2 linked regions of the Mus musculus genome follow. The protein of the gene in region 2 interacts with the protein of the main gene of each other region in a pairwise test. Links are inferred from orthologs where the notes say so. Each region holds a gene or a part of one and is shown on either strand. Other genes may lie near its edges.

The links.
Region 1: the proteins of Prkci (region 2) and Pard6g interact in binary tests that used the Homo sapiens proteins (3 or more experiments, as listed by UniProt). The link is inferred for Mus musculus from reciprocal best matches to the Homo sapiens genes PRKCI and PARD6G.

Annotation. Positions count from the first base shown.
Region 1 is NC_000084.6:80,044,667-80,051,727, reverse strand, and holds the start of Pard6g (partitioning defective 6 homolog gamma), read right to left. Parts: upstream 4,834-7,061; 5' UTR 4,658-4,833; coding exon 4,586-4,657; intron 1-4,585. UniProt on the Homo sapiens protein: Adapter protein involved in asymmetrical cell division and cell polarization processes. May play a role in the formation of epithelial tight junctions. The PARD6-PARD3 complex links GTP-bound Rho small GTPases to atypical protein kinase C proteins.
Region 2 is NC_000069.6:30,992,557-30,999,729, reverse strand, and holds the start of Prkci (protein kinase C iota type), read right to left. Parts: upstream 3,960-7,173; 5' UTR 3,746-3,959; coding exon 3,645-3,745; intron 1-3,644.

The sequences.
Region 1 (7,061 bases), on a different chromosome or scaffold from region 2:
CGAGATGTAGTAGCCCCTGGCCACACACCCAGAAAAGGTGGCAAACCTTTTAGGGGCAGTGACATCATCCATGCTCCCCAAACTAACACCCCACCTGGGTCCCTGTCAAGAGACTCTTCTAAACGCAACTTCTCAAATCAAGTCCCAGAACCTGTCGAAACACATACGTGCACAGATACAACAAAGCAGGATCTCCTAGAGGTGTAGCTGACACCCAGGTGAGTCAAACCGTGTCCAGGCAGTTCTCAACTGGCCCACACGAGGCAAGTCCTCAGCCATCCAACAGCGAGGCCAGGCCCAGCTTCCATCCCACCCAATGTCTCACGCCAGATGGAAGGGTGGGTCCCTGTAGGGCCATGGCAGCCAATACACTCAGCCAGAGATAAGATCTTGGGGCTCAGAGGAGACAGGCTGACAGAAGACATTGTATGCCCAGCTGTCTACAGCACAGCTCTGCCAGCCAGCACCTGATCGGCCAGACCATCTAGGGGCTACTCATACACATGCCCTCCCAGGAGGCCCAGGTTAATGTCTGAGCTAGGCTATACGAGGGAAAGGATACCAATTCCACTCAGAGCCTGGAAGATCAGTCCTGCCTGCTCTGGTGGGACACATCGTAAACACGCAGCTCCCAAAAGCCAACACAAAGAGAATGGGAAGAGGATTAAGTATAGCACTGGGGAGCTAAAAAGAGATCGACAGATAGCACGCTAGCACCTTCGAGTTTCCAGCTCACTGACAACTCAAGAAGTATACAAATTAAAGCAGTAGAAAAAGGAACGGGGGAGGGGAATGAATGGGTACAAAACAGCATATAGAAAATAGCAGAAGCAATTTCTCAGAACATTTTTAAAAGTTATTGCATGTGTATGGTATGTGTGTGTATGTGTGTGTATGTGCGTGCGCGTGCTATGGAGTGTGTGTGTGTGTGTGTGTGTGTGGCGATCAGAGAACAATCTTGTGGAGTCAGTTCTCTCTGTCTACCTTTATGTGGATTCCAGGGTTTGAACTCAGGAGGTCAGGCTTGCTCGGCCATTGCCTTTGCCACAGAGCCATCTTACCTGCCTAAACACTTACTAATTACGTATTCAAAGCCTTAAAAATGTGCATGTCTTTTATCCCAAGTACTTTTAAGTACATAGAGTCCTGTTGATTTAATACAACCAGTAACTTTCATTTGCCTTATGTTGTATGTTCTGTATTGGCTTCATATAAATACTTCAATATGGTTCACAGCACAGTTTAGTATGGGGGGGGGGACCAGGCAGAAATTCAAACAAGATATTGGTTATATTATGATTGGACAGAAGATGTAATACTGCGTAGTCATTTTTTTAAAGTCCCCTAAAAATGTTAATGACATGAAGAAACATTTGTCACATATTGACAGATTGAAAGTAGACTACATATTGTCTTTGTGATCCTCGTTCTAGAAACAATAACGTGATGTATGCACACTAGCACACGGCGTCAGAAGGCATGAGGCAGCATTTGAGAGAAGTCTGTCTGCAGACAGAATTACCCTCTTCCAGCCTCAAGTTTCTTTAGGGAGGCACACACATGAAGAAAACCTTCAGCCTCAAACAATACTGAGTGGGCCTCATGACAGACTTGCCTCTCGAGTTGGGACACTGTTGCGGTAGGAGGACCTGAGAACTGTATTCTCTGAGACACCCCCATCCCTGACGGCAGTGGCCTTCTTGCCCTCTTGCTGGCTTTCAAAGCAGCCTAGGCAGTTGCCCTTCGTCCTTCAGCCTGAAATGCTTTCCTACAAATCTCCAGTGTCTCCCTTCCAGCTACAGGTTGGAGAGGCAAAAGTCACGGTGGAGTGAGAAGGGCAGGCAGAAACAGGAAATCGAAAGTGCACATGGCTCTGGAGAGGGAGAGAGGATGAGCCAGAGTTAACGATTTTAGGGAATCATCAGGGGGCATGAAACGGGTGGCAGCCACCAGGCCAAGAACCTGAGTTCTCTGCATACACAGCTGGTGTGCCCAGGAGGTGGCTGGCATGGCAGATAATTAATGATCTCAATTCTGAGAAGACGCGTGGCCATATTCAGCACTCACCGTGAGTGCTGAGACCCTGCGCCGTGGCACTGGATGCTGAGGATGGTGGGTGCCCTGCACTTCCCAACATGTCTTCCCCTCACCTCAGGAGGTGAGCACCTTCTCTGGATATGATGCAGATGCCCACAGATGAAACGACTCAGATAGGGAAACGAAAAGATGTTGCCTCAAATCCCCAACAAAACTTGGGTGCACTGAGCTGTGGCTGCCATTTTCCTAAGCAAACCACAGTTACTATATTTAGTTCTACATTCGAGGTGTGTGAAGTCCTTGCTGATAGGAAGTTCTGCCTCCAGCACAGACAAAAGCCCTTGCCTGGAGAGATGGACTCCACAATAATACACATCAGCTACCGAGTGGGAGGAGAGCGGGAGGGGTGTGGAAGGAAGAGCCACTGGGGACATTCTGGACAGGCAATGAGAGTGGCATGCTGTGGGGTGGAGAGCATGTGACAGCCACCCCAATGCTGTCTATGTCAGCGTGGGCTCTCCTAAGTCTCCACTCCAAACAGCATCTGAGCTTGAAGCCTCAGAGATGCAAAGTGGCATTTCTCCACTAAGCAGAGTTGGAGGAGACAGTTTGGCCAACATGCCAGGAAACAAAGGTAGGTGGCCTATTCTCCCCTAAGCCTGCATGGACCACAGCCCAGAAATGCAGGATAAGGCCCAGTGAGGGCACTTCCTCCAGATCTGTCCCATGGCCTCATTTTGAATTTGTTAATGTACATCGTCACACACAGCTACTGAGCACCAGAACTGAGTGGTTAGCACTTCTCATCGGAGTCCACACTCAGTGAGTGGTCAGGAAGAATCCTGGTGATGGGTGTTGATGGTGTCCGCTGTGTTGGCGCTCACAAGAGTGTTACACACCCGTATACACACACAAGTGAGCACATAGCACCGTATGAAGCTCCCTTCTATTCACACCAGAGGTTAACACTGCAGAAGGCCAAGCAAAGTGACCTCGGGTCTCTGTATTCTTTCTCACGTCTGCTTGTGAATGTACCACGATTTCAAAACAGTTTAGAGACATGAAGGGGCTGCCCTAGTCCAGTGCTGAGGAAGCAGGCAACCCTCCCACCCTCCCATGGCCATGGATGGCCCTAACTTTACAGCTGCGTGAACTTGGGGTTTAGGAGCACTCCTGGACAACAGAGGGGATGGGAGTCATAGAATTACCATCTGGAAACAGGGTAGGCTCTCATTATAAGTAAGCTGCCCCAAATGTGGAGACCCTGCAGTTTACCACAATGGGTCTGCAAAGATACCCTGCTGTTACTGAGGGGACTTGCCCCATCTTCAGGACTCTACAGAGACCCTGAAAATCTTATACTAAAGAACTCTCTGGTGGCTGGTCAGTAGTCTAATGAGAGCATTATCTTACCAGATACCAGGCGAATGAATGGATCTCAGGCCTTAGGCCCACAAGAAGCACTGGGGAGAACTCACCCTTGGTGATCTGGACCATTCCAGCACCTCTCCCTTCTTCACCCAGAACACCACAGAAACAAGGCTACTTATCTCCTAGTCAGTAAAAGGCTCCAGGGACTTCTCCCACCCGACCCTAAGCAACAGCAGCTCCCCATCCCGCAGGGTCCGCGTTGCAGACCCTCCCAGACCAAAGCTTTTGCAGCGAAGGAGCTGCCTCCGCAGAGGGGAGAAGCGCCAGATCCTATCAGCCAATTATCCAGGCACGGCTACTCGCAAGTTCGGGCACGCTCTGCCTAGGCACAAGCAGCGGGAGGGGCCCGGGCGCGCCCAGGGGGTCTGAGTCTGCGCCCTGGTCGCGCCCCCCCGTAGCGGATTGTGGTCTTGTCTAGGGGCGGCTCGCCCAAATGGGAGTTTATCGGTCCCTGAACCCTAAGAGCCCGGGGGATCTAAGCTGGGGGAGCGTCTAGGAAAGATGTCTGGGTAGCAAGGGTGCTCAGGGCTGGGTCGGGAAGACTGGACTTGGGCCAGGGGTATGATCAAGGGGTCTGGGTCTTGGGGTAAAGGGCGCCTGGGGCTCCGGGTCTGGTACCCAGCGCCAAACAGGAGGCTGAGCCAGGGCCCTGATCTGGGAGCCGACCGCCAGTCTGCTCCTTAAGGCCAAATTGCGGCGCAGCCAGGCCCCCCTCCTGATTCTGGCCTCCCAAAGACCCCTCCACGACCTGAATCCCAGCAGTCTCCGGCTCCAAGATCGCCCCGGAAACACAGCCCTCCCCTCCAACGTGTGGCGCGCCCCGGTCTTCTCTAGTTCGTGGAACAAAAGAGCAGCTCTCGTGGAGCTGGTTCAGAGCCTACACTGACTGTCCCATGGCCCTCCGCCGCCGGGCTTTGTGCTCGCATAGGGAGCAGGGAGGATCGCCGGGGTCCCGGAGCACATCCCACGGACCCCGCGCAGAGGCACGCAGCGCCTAAGCTCCAAAGTTGTCGACGCCGGTCGCCTCCCACACCGCTCCAGTTTCCCTCCGCGGGGTGCACCATTCATTTGCCAAGGGACCGAGTGCAGACCGCCCCGGTGGGCCTCGGGCACTTACCTTGCTCTTGACTTCCACAGCGCTGCAGTCGTAGAAGCGTAGGGTCTGAGACTTATGAAAACTCCGGTTCATGATTTCGGCCCCACTCAGCCTCGCCTTCGCCCTCGCCGCTCAGGGGCCTCAGAGAGAGTCTCCGCGGAGACGCCCCCCAACGTCTGCCCGGGCCCGGCGCCGGGCCCGCGCTCGCTAGGGCGCCCGGCTGCACGGCGTGAGGCGGGCCGGAGCGGGGCTGGCGGCGCGCCGCGGGGACTCCAGGGGCCGCGCGCGGGAGGAGCTACGGGACGCCTCCCCCGAGTCCCGCCCCCAGAGCCCCGCCCCCAGAGCCCCGCCTCCAGCCCCCATCAGGACCCGCCCACGCCACGCCCCTACCTGGTGCCTTTCCAAAGGCAGAAGCTCTGGGCCATTTTCTGGGCTCTCCGGTTTGCCTTCTCCACAGCGGTCCGCCTGGGAAAGGGGTTCTCGATAGATTCTTAAGAAGCAATGGTGAGGACAAGGCCTCCAGGTCTGCTCCACTTGCCTGCCTCAGTTGCCAGGTTGTAGGTGGTCTCGCCCATGAAGTAGTGAACTCAGGCAGGACGGAAAGCGACAGGATAGTAAACCGATGCCAAATTGTAAAGAAATAGTTAAAGTTAAAACTAATATGTAGTATTAACAACAAGAACTAAAACTGTTTTTTTTTTAAAGGGAGAGGAACACTTGCAGGAGGGTTTGAGGAGCAGCGAGGGTTTTTCTAAGGCAGTTGATAGAAAATAGGATAGGTTTGGAGAAAGAAATGATTCTTATATCATAGAAGACTAGATAGAGCACTTAAAAAGAGGGGGGAGAAAACCCAAGATGGAACCTGGCTCCTTAGGAGTTTGTAAAGAAGTTAGGACGAAACTTACAGGCTTTAACAACTATCTTAAAATGTCTCATGCATTTTTGTAATCGGCATGTTTACTTTTTGTGTACATTGTAATATACATTACAGAATTGTGATCATTCTGTTTTGTCACTACCCGGGTTATAATGGATGTTTTCATCAGTTGTTTGATTTTAGAAAATGTTCTTTAAATTGCTTATGTGAATAAAGGTATGACTTCTAATGGTTTTATTTTATTGGCTATGTTTGCATTTCATACATACTAATATTATAAGTGCTGAATCCCAGGTTTCACTTATTTCTGAGGCTTTTAAAAGATATTGACTATTAAAATGGAATTATTAGGCTATAAAACACACCTCCTCTAAAGTTTTAACACAGACTGCCAAATTGCATTCCCTAAATTTTAATTTTTATTCAGTTTTGCTGTGTATTTATTCTGTTATGATCAGGGTTTAATGCCAGGGCCTGTGGTCACTGTGGTTTAGAGTCATAATCCTTCCTTTAGAAGAAAGTCCATATTGTTCAGAGGACCCCGGACAGGCATAGGTGATGTAAGCCGGGAAGACACGGGGAAATCCTGGTCAAAAAGCAGCAGGAGCAAGCTCCTCAGTTCTCTCTTCTTTCCCAGCCCCTCCCCCAGAGCCCCTCCTCCAAGAACTCCTCCCCCAAAGCCCTCCCCAAAGAGCCCCTCTCCCAAAGCCCCTCCCCCAAGTGCCCCTCCCCCAGAGCCCCTCCTCCAAGAGCTCCTCCCCCAAAGCCCTTCCAAAAGAGCCCCTCTCCCAAAGCCCCTCCCCCAAAGAGCCCTTCCCCCAAGAGCCCCTCCCTTACCCTTCTCTTTCCCTCCTTTTCTCTCTCACAGGCCTTTACATAACCTAGGCCAGCCTTAAACTTTCTAGGTAACTGAAGCTGCCCTTCAGCTTCCCATCTTCCTGTCCCCACCTCCATAGTGCTGGGACGGCATGTGTGTGTACGTACTTCCATGCCCGTTTTACTCAGTACAGGGCATGGGATCCCAGACCTCATGATGTCTTATTTGGAGGGTCGATTCCTAACTTAGTACAGTCCTTTGGCCTTAGAAAAGTCACAGGTCTGCTGTTTTACTGTTCACTCCAAAGGGACAGTTCTGTGGGTGGGGGAGGCCCAGGAGCGCGGTAAGGGTTGAGCGCCCACATGGTTAATCCTGGTTGTCAGCTTGACTCTATCGGAATAACCAAAACACAAGCCTCTTGGCGCTCCTGTGAGGGGTGTTGTAAATGCCGAACTTAATCCTACATCCACTTATTTCTGAGGCTTTTTGAGAAATACTGTCTCTTGGTCAGATATCTGAGGCAGAAAGACCCGCCCACGTGTGGACAACAGCTTCTGGAGGAAACATAGATGAGATGGTAATGGAAAAAGAAACCGTTGCTTTCTGCCTGCTTGCCCCACTCTACTGGCATGCCCATCTCTGCTGTTGCTGCAGCATACTTGGCTGACACTAGAGCCAAGTTCTTCGGGTTTCTAATGTAGACCGAAGACCAGCAGCTCTCTAGGGATCCTCCAGGCCTTCGGTGCCAGATTGGGGCTGCTGAGACATCCAACCTTGTGGACTGAGCAGCTACTGGATTCTTG
Region 2 (7,173 bases):
GTTACTGTTCACAGAAGGAATCCTCTGGGCTGCGATCACTGATCAACGACAATGGCTTATAACTCACTTTTTTACAAGCTTTCTGCCAAAGTCCTGTACACATACAATGTCAAGGTATGCGCGGCCCAGTCATTACCTCATTAAATTCTATCCCACAAGTACCTTTATACAGGGATTAGCACACAATGGCAATCTATCACTAACCAAAAAAACCTGTTTCTCTTCCTCCAACCTAACAGCACTGTAAGGAAAAGGGCCGCTGACTCCAGAGTTCCCATGTTGGGAAAAAGGGGCGCAGACCATGAGACAGGCACTCTACTCACGCCAGATTCTCAGTGCCTTTACAAACTAGAAAAGTCTCTTGCTTTTAAAAACTGGAAAAAAGTCAAATCACATGCCTCTTATATATAGGAAGACAAATACTTTCCCAAAAATGAAACCTATTTAAAAGGAGAGGATAGTTCATTCACTGGAAATATTCATAGTCAAGCTTCACTGGGAAGAACTACTGTTAGGAGGAGGCAGGGGAAAGCTACAGAAAGAGGGGGTGAAAAGAAAATGGTCTCTGTGAGGTTGTTTTTGTTGCTAAGGTAAAAACCTCATGTAGCCCAAGCTGGTCCCAAACTCACCCTTCTGCTCTTCCTTCCTCCACCTTCTGAGTGGAGGATTACAGCGCGCCATGTACCAGGTTTCTGCAGTGCTGGAGACGAAACCTTGGCCTGTGCGCGTTAAGCAAGCACTCCTCTAACCAGATCCCCAGCCCCAAACCACATTTTCCAATTGCAAACCCTCCTGTTTCCCAGCACAAGGGAAAGGGAGTCTACTTTGGAGTCATGTATGGGACTTGTTAACCAACACATTTATTAGCTCTCCTTGCTGGTGACGCATTTTAGTCTCATCAACGCTAATAAGCAGCTGGCTGTAATATAACTACCAGTTTAGATTACTGTTAATAAACATATAATCTTAACGTCTAACTCAGAAAAAAGAAAATGGCACGGTTAAGAGTGCTGAGGCTGTCCTCAGAGGAAGCTTGAAAAACCATGTAGTATTAGGACGGTTCCACTGACTACTGAAGACATGGGGTTATGTGTGCCTATCTTTAGTAAAATTTCCTAAACTTTAAAAGATAATATTAAAGTACCTCGAGAAATTTTTAGACAAAATAAATCGTATATCCATATTCTCATTTTCTTTATCTTAATAATTAGAGCAATAAATAAAGAAAATCCATATGGAATACCTGAATTTCTAGAGTTCGACGTATTGATTTCTTTCCAAGGAAATTTTGGAAATGATTTATATGATGCGCCTATTTACTAATAAAAATATGGAAAAATGAAAAAGCATTAATTCCTTGGTCTTTCACCAAGTCACTGGAAGCTAAGTATAAAGTCAAAAACTAAAATCAATCGCTGAACAATCAACATTTAAGACCCACAGGAAACAGGAGACAGAAGGCACTATACAACATAATGTTCATCTTTCAGTGGAAGTAATCGATAAATACTATCTACAGATGATCTCTCAAGAAACATAAATGTGGGCTGGAGAGATGGCTCAGTGGTGAAGAGCACTGACTGCTCTTCAGAGGTCTTGAGTTCAATTCCCAGCAATCACATGGGTGGCTCACAACCATCTGTAATGGGATCCAATGCCCTCTTCTGGTGTGTCTGAAGACAGCTATAGTGTACTCATAAAAATAAAATAAATTTAAATAAAGAAACATAAATGCAACTTTTTTGAGATTGATGTGTCTGTGTGCACGCACACACATGCACACACACACACATGTGATATGTATGGGGGGTGGGGTGGGGGTGCCACAGTGGCCAGGAGAGGGTATTGGGGTCCTGGAACTAGAATTGCAGTATTGTGGGTCACCTAACACAGGTTCTTCAAACACAATCTGGATACACTGGAAGAGCATCGAGTGTTCTTCATGGCTGAGCCCTCTCTCCAGCTCCATAAGTACAACCTTTAAAACAGTAAATGCAAGCTGCAGAAGAAGTTACCCACAACAGAGCCTTTGGAGACTGGAGGGTGAAAAGCCACAGTGCTACTGACACATGTACACAATATGCACTCTCTTACCAAGCACACGCATTTACACTGAACTCTCGTCTGTAAACCTGTCAACTAGACAGCTTCTTTAGAATCCACGGCATTTCCTCCTCTACACCTAATACGCCACAGGCTGCTAACTTTATAAGTGGAACCTACTCAAAAGCAACGTTTCTCAATCCGTAGATCTAGATCCCTTTGGGAGGGGTCTAAGAGCATCCGAAAACACAGATATTCATGTTACATTCATAACAGTAGAAAAATTACAGTTACAGGTAGTAGCAAAATAAATTGGGGTCACCACAACATGAGGAAGAGTATTAAACAGTTGCAGCATTGAGAACCACTGCTCTAAAACAAATGTCTCTCAAATTATCAGAAAGTTGTGTGTTTGTCCTCGGAAGGATGGGCTGTGGCTCTTCCAATCTTGCAAAGTTTGTTCATGGCTGACCATGAACCAAAATGCCTAAAGCAATTATTATGACAACTACCAACTTTTTAAAAATTTCAAAAAAAAAAAAAATTAGTGCGTTTGCGGAGACTATTTTAACCTCATTTTCTCTGTTTTAAGTGAAAAGAACATTGTCTACTGCAAATTCTACGAATTAGTCCCAAATCAGTCAATGTCAGAGGCTGGAAGATAACACACAAATCTAAGGCCTTACATGTACACATTAAGACATGTGCAGCTTCAGTTCTCTTGAAAGGAAAACAAGAAAGAACCGGGAAGGTCTGCTATCTTCACTGATCCCCTCAGGAATGTGAAAGCACGCACAGCTCTTTTAACCTTGTAGCACTTGAAGCTTTTAAAAGCAATTTATTTCTGCCTAGACAAGCAGAGAGGTCTTCTGTTAATCCCTGCTCTCCAGTCTTTATGCTCACGCTGGCCTTTCACCTCAGCAGAGATCCTAAATTATCTCAAACCACACACTGAAGTCAAAGGAGAGGAAGAACTTTATGATAAGTCACGATAGAAAATGATTTGGGCTATGCTCAGAACTGGATTACTTTTGGCAGAGACATTAGTTTAAACGTTTGGTAATCAAGTGGGGTAAAGATCGTTTCTAGAATTTAAAGCCTTGGCTTCTCACCTTTCGATAGCTCACCCTAACTTCCAAAATGTGGGTCAGCACATTTGCACCTTAATTCTGACCACCCAGGATCCAGTGCACATCCTATTAAAAAGTATCGACTTTGGTACTAACTCTAACACCTATAGCGGCTCTCTGACCATAGTCCAGACTTATTTCATGAACTCTCCCACGGCGAAGGATAGATGTAAACCTGATTTATAAGACGGAGGCTTCAGGCCTGTCTGCAATGAAAGGAGCCACCTAACGAAGCAGTCCAGGCTTGCGTGCCCACAGTAGTGAGTGAACAGAGGCTTCCCTCGAAATCTTCAATCCACCCAGTCCCGAAACAGTTGCAAATTTCTCCGTCAGCTGATTTGTCCTCCCCTCCGGTTGCGCCCACTCTCCTCCGCCGACTCCTGGCGACCTACACTCATACGTCCAGGGTGCCACCAACCGCACCTCTCGCCGCCCCCACGATCGCTCGGGTCCCTGACCGCCAACACTCACCCGCGGTAGTAGGCTTTCACCCGGACCTGGTGGGAATGGTCCCCGCCGCCGCCGCACGCGACCGTGTGGGACATGGTGCTGCTGTCCCTCTGGGTCGGCATCTCCTCACTCCCCCGCCTCGCCGCAGGAGGCCGAGGGGGCCGGGGCAGCGCCGGGCGCCGCGAGGGTCTCGGCCTCCCGAGCCTGTCGGGAAGCCGTGGCCGCCCGCCTCGCCGACCAACACGCCTAGCCCGCGGCGCGGAGCGAGCAAGGGGTCGCTTCGCCGCCAAGCCCGAGCCCCAGCGCTCCTCCCTCCGCCCGGCACAACACGCCTCCCGCCGCGGCTCCTCCCACCACGCTCGCTCCCAAGGCCGCATTCCGCGGCAGGGCGGGCTCAGGAGTCGCGGAGCCCCGGCGCTCTCATCCTCACGGGGGGGAGAAGAGGCTAGCAGAGGGAACAGAACCCACCAGCCTACTAACAGACGCTCTGAAATGGGAATATACTTGGATATTAATATAAGTAATTGTAAACCACGCCTTTAAATGGAAGGATTTCTACAAAACAACCTACAGAGCACCCACGCTCAAGGTTGCTTCCCCTATTTCTTCTATTTAGTCTCGTCCCAGCTAGCCCGCCACGCTTCCGGAATGTATTTGCTGCGCGGGATTCTGGGATTTGGAGTCCCGGTGGGATTCTGGGACTTGTTCCTTAAGTGTAGAGTGCCGCGTTTTCGATCTTGTGCTTCCCGGGAGTTGTAGGCATGGAAGTCCTGAAAACCGCTTGAGTATCTGAGGGCACTGGAAAGATGGCTTCGTCAAGATGTAGAATCTCCTTCCAATTAAATTCTCCATGTCAATTTCATTGATCATTGAAATTAAACAGTTCCCTTTTGGGGGAACAAGATTTGATTACCTGCTCAGCAAATCCTTTTCGGGGAGAATTTAATAATGTAGGTAGCAAAAGCATTAGTGAATGCAACGAAAGAAGAAACTCAATTGGGAGATACCACAGGAGAGAGACTTCTTCAAGGCCCTCAACCCGTGAATATTGCCATTCTATAGAAGAAAGTGCCCAGTGAATACTTAACTAGTGTGTCAGTTCATTAGCATTTATTTTACTTACACTAGTCTGGTCGAGAATTAGAAAAAAAAATCTGTCCGTGTAACTTACTTTCGGACTTCCTCAGATCTTGCCTGTATCACTTACTCTACCCTTAAGGTAGCTTGAATCTAGCCACCAGGTCAGCTCAGATAGCAACATGTGCAAATTGTTGAAATAAGCAAAGATATGGCTTTCTTTTTGTTATTGTTTGTTTGTTTTTGGTTGGTAAGAGGTTTTCTCTCTGTAGCTGTCCTTGAACTCATTCTGTCAGGCTAGACTCAAACTCAGAGATTCGCCTGCTAGTGCCTCCTGGGTCCTATTAAGGGCATGTGTCACCACTACCCAGCAGCTTTCTTTATAATCATACATTAGATTTGGTTGCTTGCTTTATCAGAGCTACTATGTGTGACACTTAGCTTGGTACTAGCTTCATCCAACGTCCACAAATTTGGAGTATATGAAAATTTCCACTAAATAACTTTTTTTTTTTTAACAATTAGAGGCTGCATCATCACGTTAAATATGGATTGATTGCTGATGGTCATTTTTTTTAATTATTATTTTATGTATGAGCACCACACACCGCCTGGTTCCTGCAGAGGTCAGAAAGGGGTGCCAGATACACTGGAACTGGAGTTTCAGATAGTTGTGCTGGGAATCAAACCCAGGTTCCCAGGAGGAACAGCCAGTGCCTTTAACTACTGAACCATCTCTCCAGGCAGAGATCACCAATTTTTAATTGCATTATTGAAACTTTTTAATGCTTTGTGACAAGTTTACAATTATATAAAGCTCTAGAAAAATAACTAGCATATAAGAAGTAGATATTTATGAAGAAATAAAAGGTAATTCACAGAAAATTCTTTTTTTAAAAAAAATTCTTATTCCTTACCACTTTTGAAAAATCTGTCATTATTGGCTTCATAATATGGTTTTAAAGGTTACCCAAGAATTTTTTAACTACTTAATGTGTTAGCTATATGAATCTGTAACTATAATTTGTATAAATAGCACTACACACACACACACACACACACACACACACACATCACTTTTCTTAAAGATGATAGATTTAAAAATAATCATTACAGAGATTGGAGAGATGTCTCAATAGTTTAAAGATCTCACTGTTCTTCTAGAGGACCTGGGGGTCGAGTCCCAGCAACCACATAGCAACTGACAGTGGTTTATAACTTCAGTTTCAGGGGATCTGATGCCCTCTTCTGGCTTTTGTGAGCACCAGGCACAGATATGGTGCATACATGCAGGTAAAACAGCCATATGCATAAGATTAAATTAAACTAAAAAAAATTTACATTCCTTTTACTGGGGATGGGCACATGTGGCGATATAGGACTATTTAGAGGAGTTGGTTCTCTCTTCCCACCATATGGGTCTTGGGGATTAAACTTGGGTATCAGACCTTGACAGCAGCTGTCAGTTGAACTATTATCTTACTTAGGGTCCCATTGCTGTAAAGAAACACCATGACCAAGGCAAACATTATAAGAACAAACATTTAATTGGGATTGGCTTATAGTTTCAGAGCTTCAGTCCAGCATCATGCTGAGAAGCATGGCAGCATGCAGGCCAACATGGTTCTAAAGAAGGAGCTAAGTTCTGCATCTTGATCCAAAGGCAGCCAGAAGGATACTGTTTTCCTCAGGCAGCCAGGAGAAGACTGTCTTCCACACAGGGCAATGCACACTTCCTCCAACAAGGCCACACCCACACCAGCAAGGCCACACCCACTCCAGCAAGGCCACACCTCCTAATGGTGCTACTTCCCATGGGCCAATAGCATATTCAAACCACCACTACTATTTTGCCTGTCCAAAATAACAACTTTAAGAGCAGGTGGCATATGGTTGGAAGCCTAGCTACTACAGAGGATGAAGTAGAAGGATCATTTGAAACCATGAGTTCAAGTCCAACTTACCTCTAAGTCTATAGAGAATGAGGAACGGAAGAAAGGGGCCAACCAGCTAGGAGAACAGGAAGAGTCCATCCATTGTGATGACCACAGAAAGCATTAACATTCACATTTTTGAAACTCTACTGAGCTATACTTTACATATCTTACAGATCACACATTTAAACCACATAGTTCAGTTTTTCAGTATGTTCACAAAGTTGGACAGCGATCATTGCTATTGAAATCCAAAATATCTTCATCATACCCCAAAGAAACAGCATACCCGCTGGCAATAAATTGGGTCCATTATCTTCAGCCTCTCAGGACCAATACCTTTTGTGCAGCTGTGGATTTTCTCTGTTCTATGTATTTTATACAAAGGGAATCATAGACTATGTCGTTTTTCGTGTCTTCTACTTGGTTTAATATGTTTGAGGCTTGTTCACATTGCATCAAGTGCCTGTACTTCCTTTATATGGTTAAATAATAGTCAACAGTCAGGGGACAATACAGAAATGTTTATATGCACATTT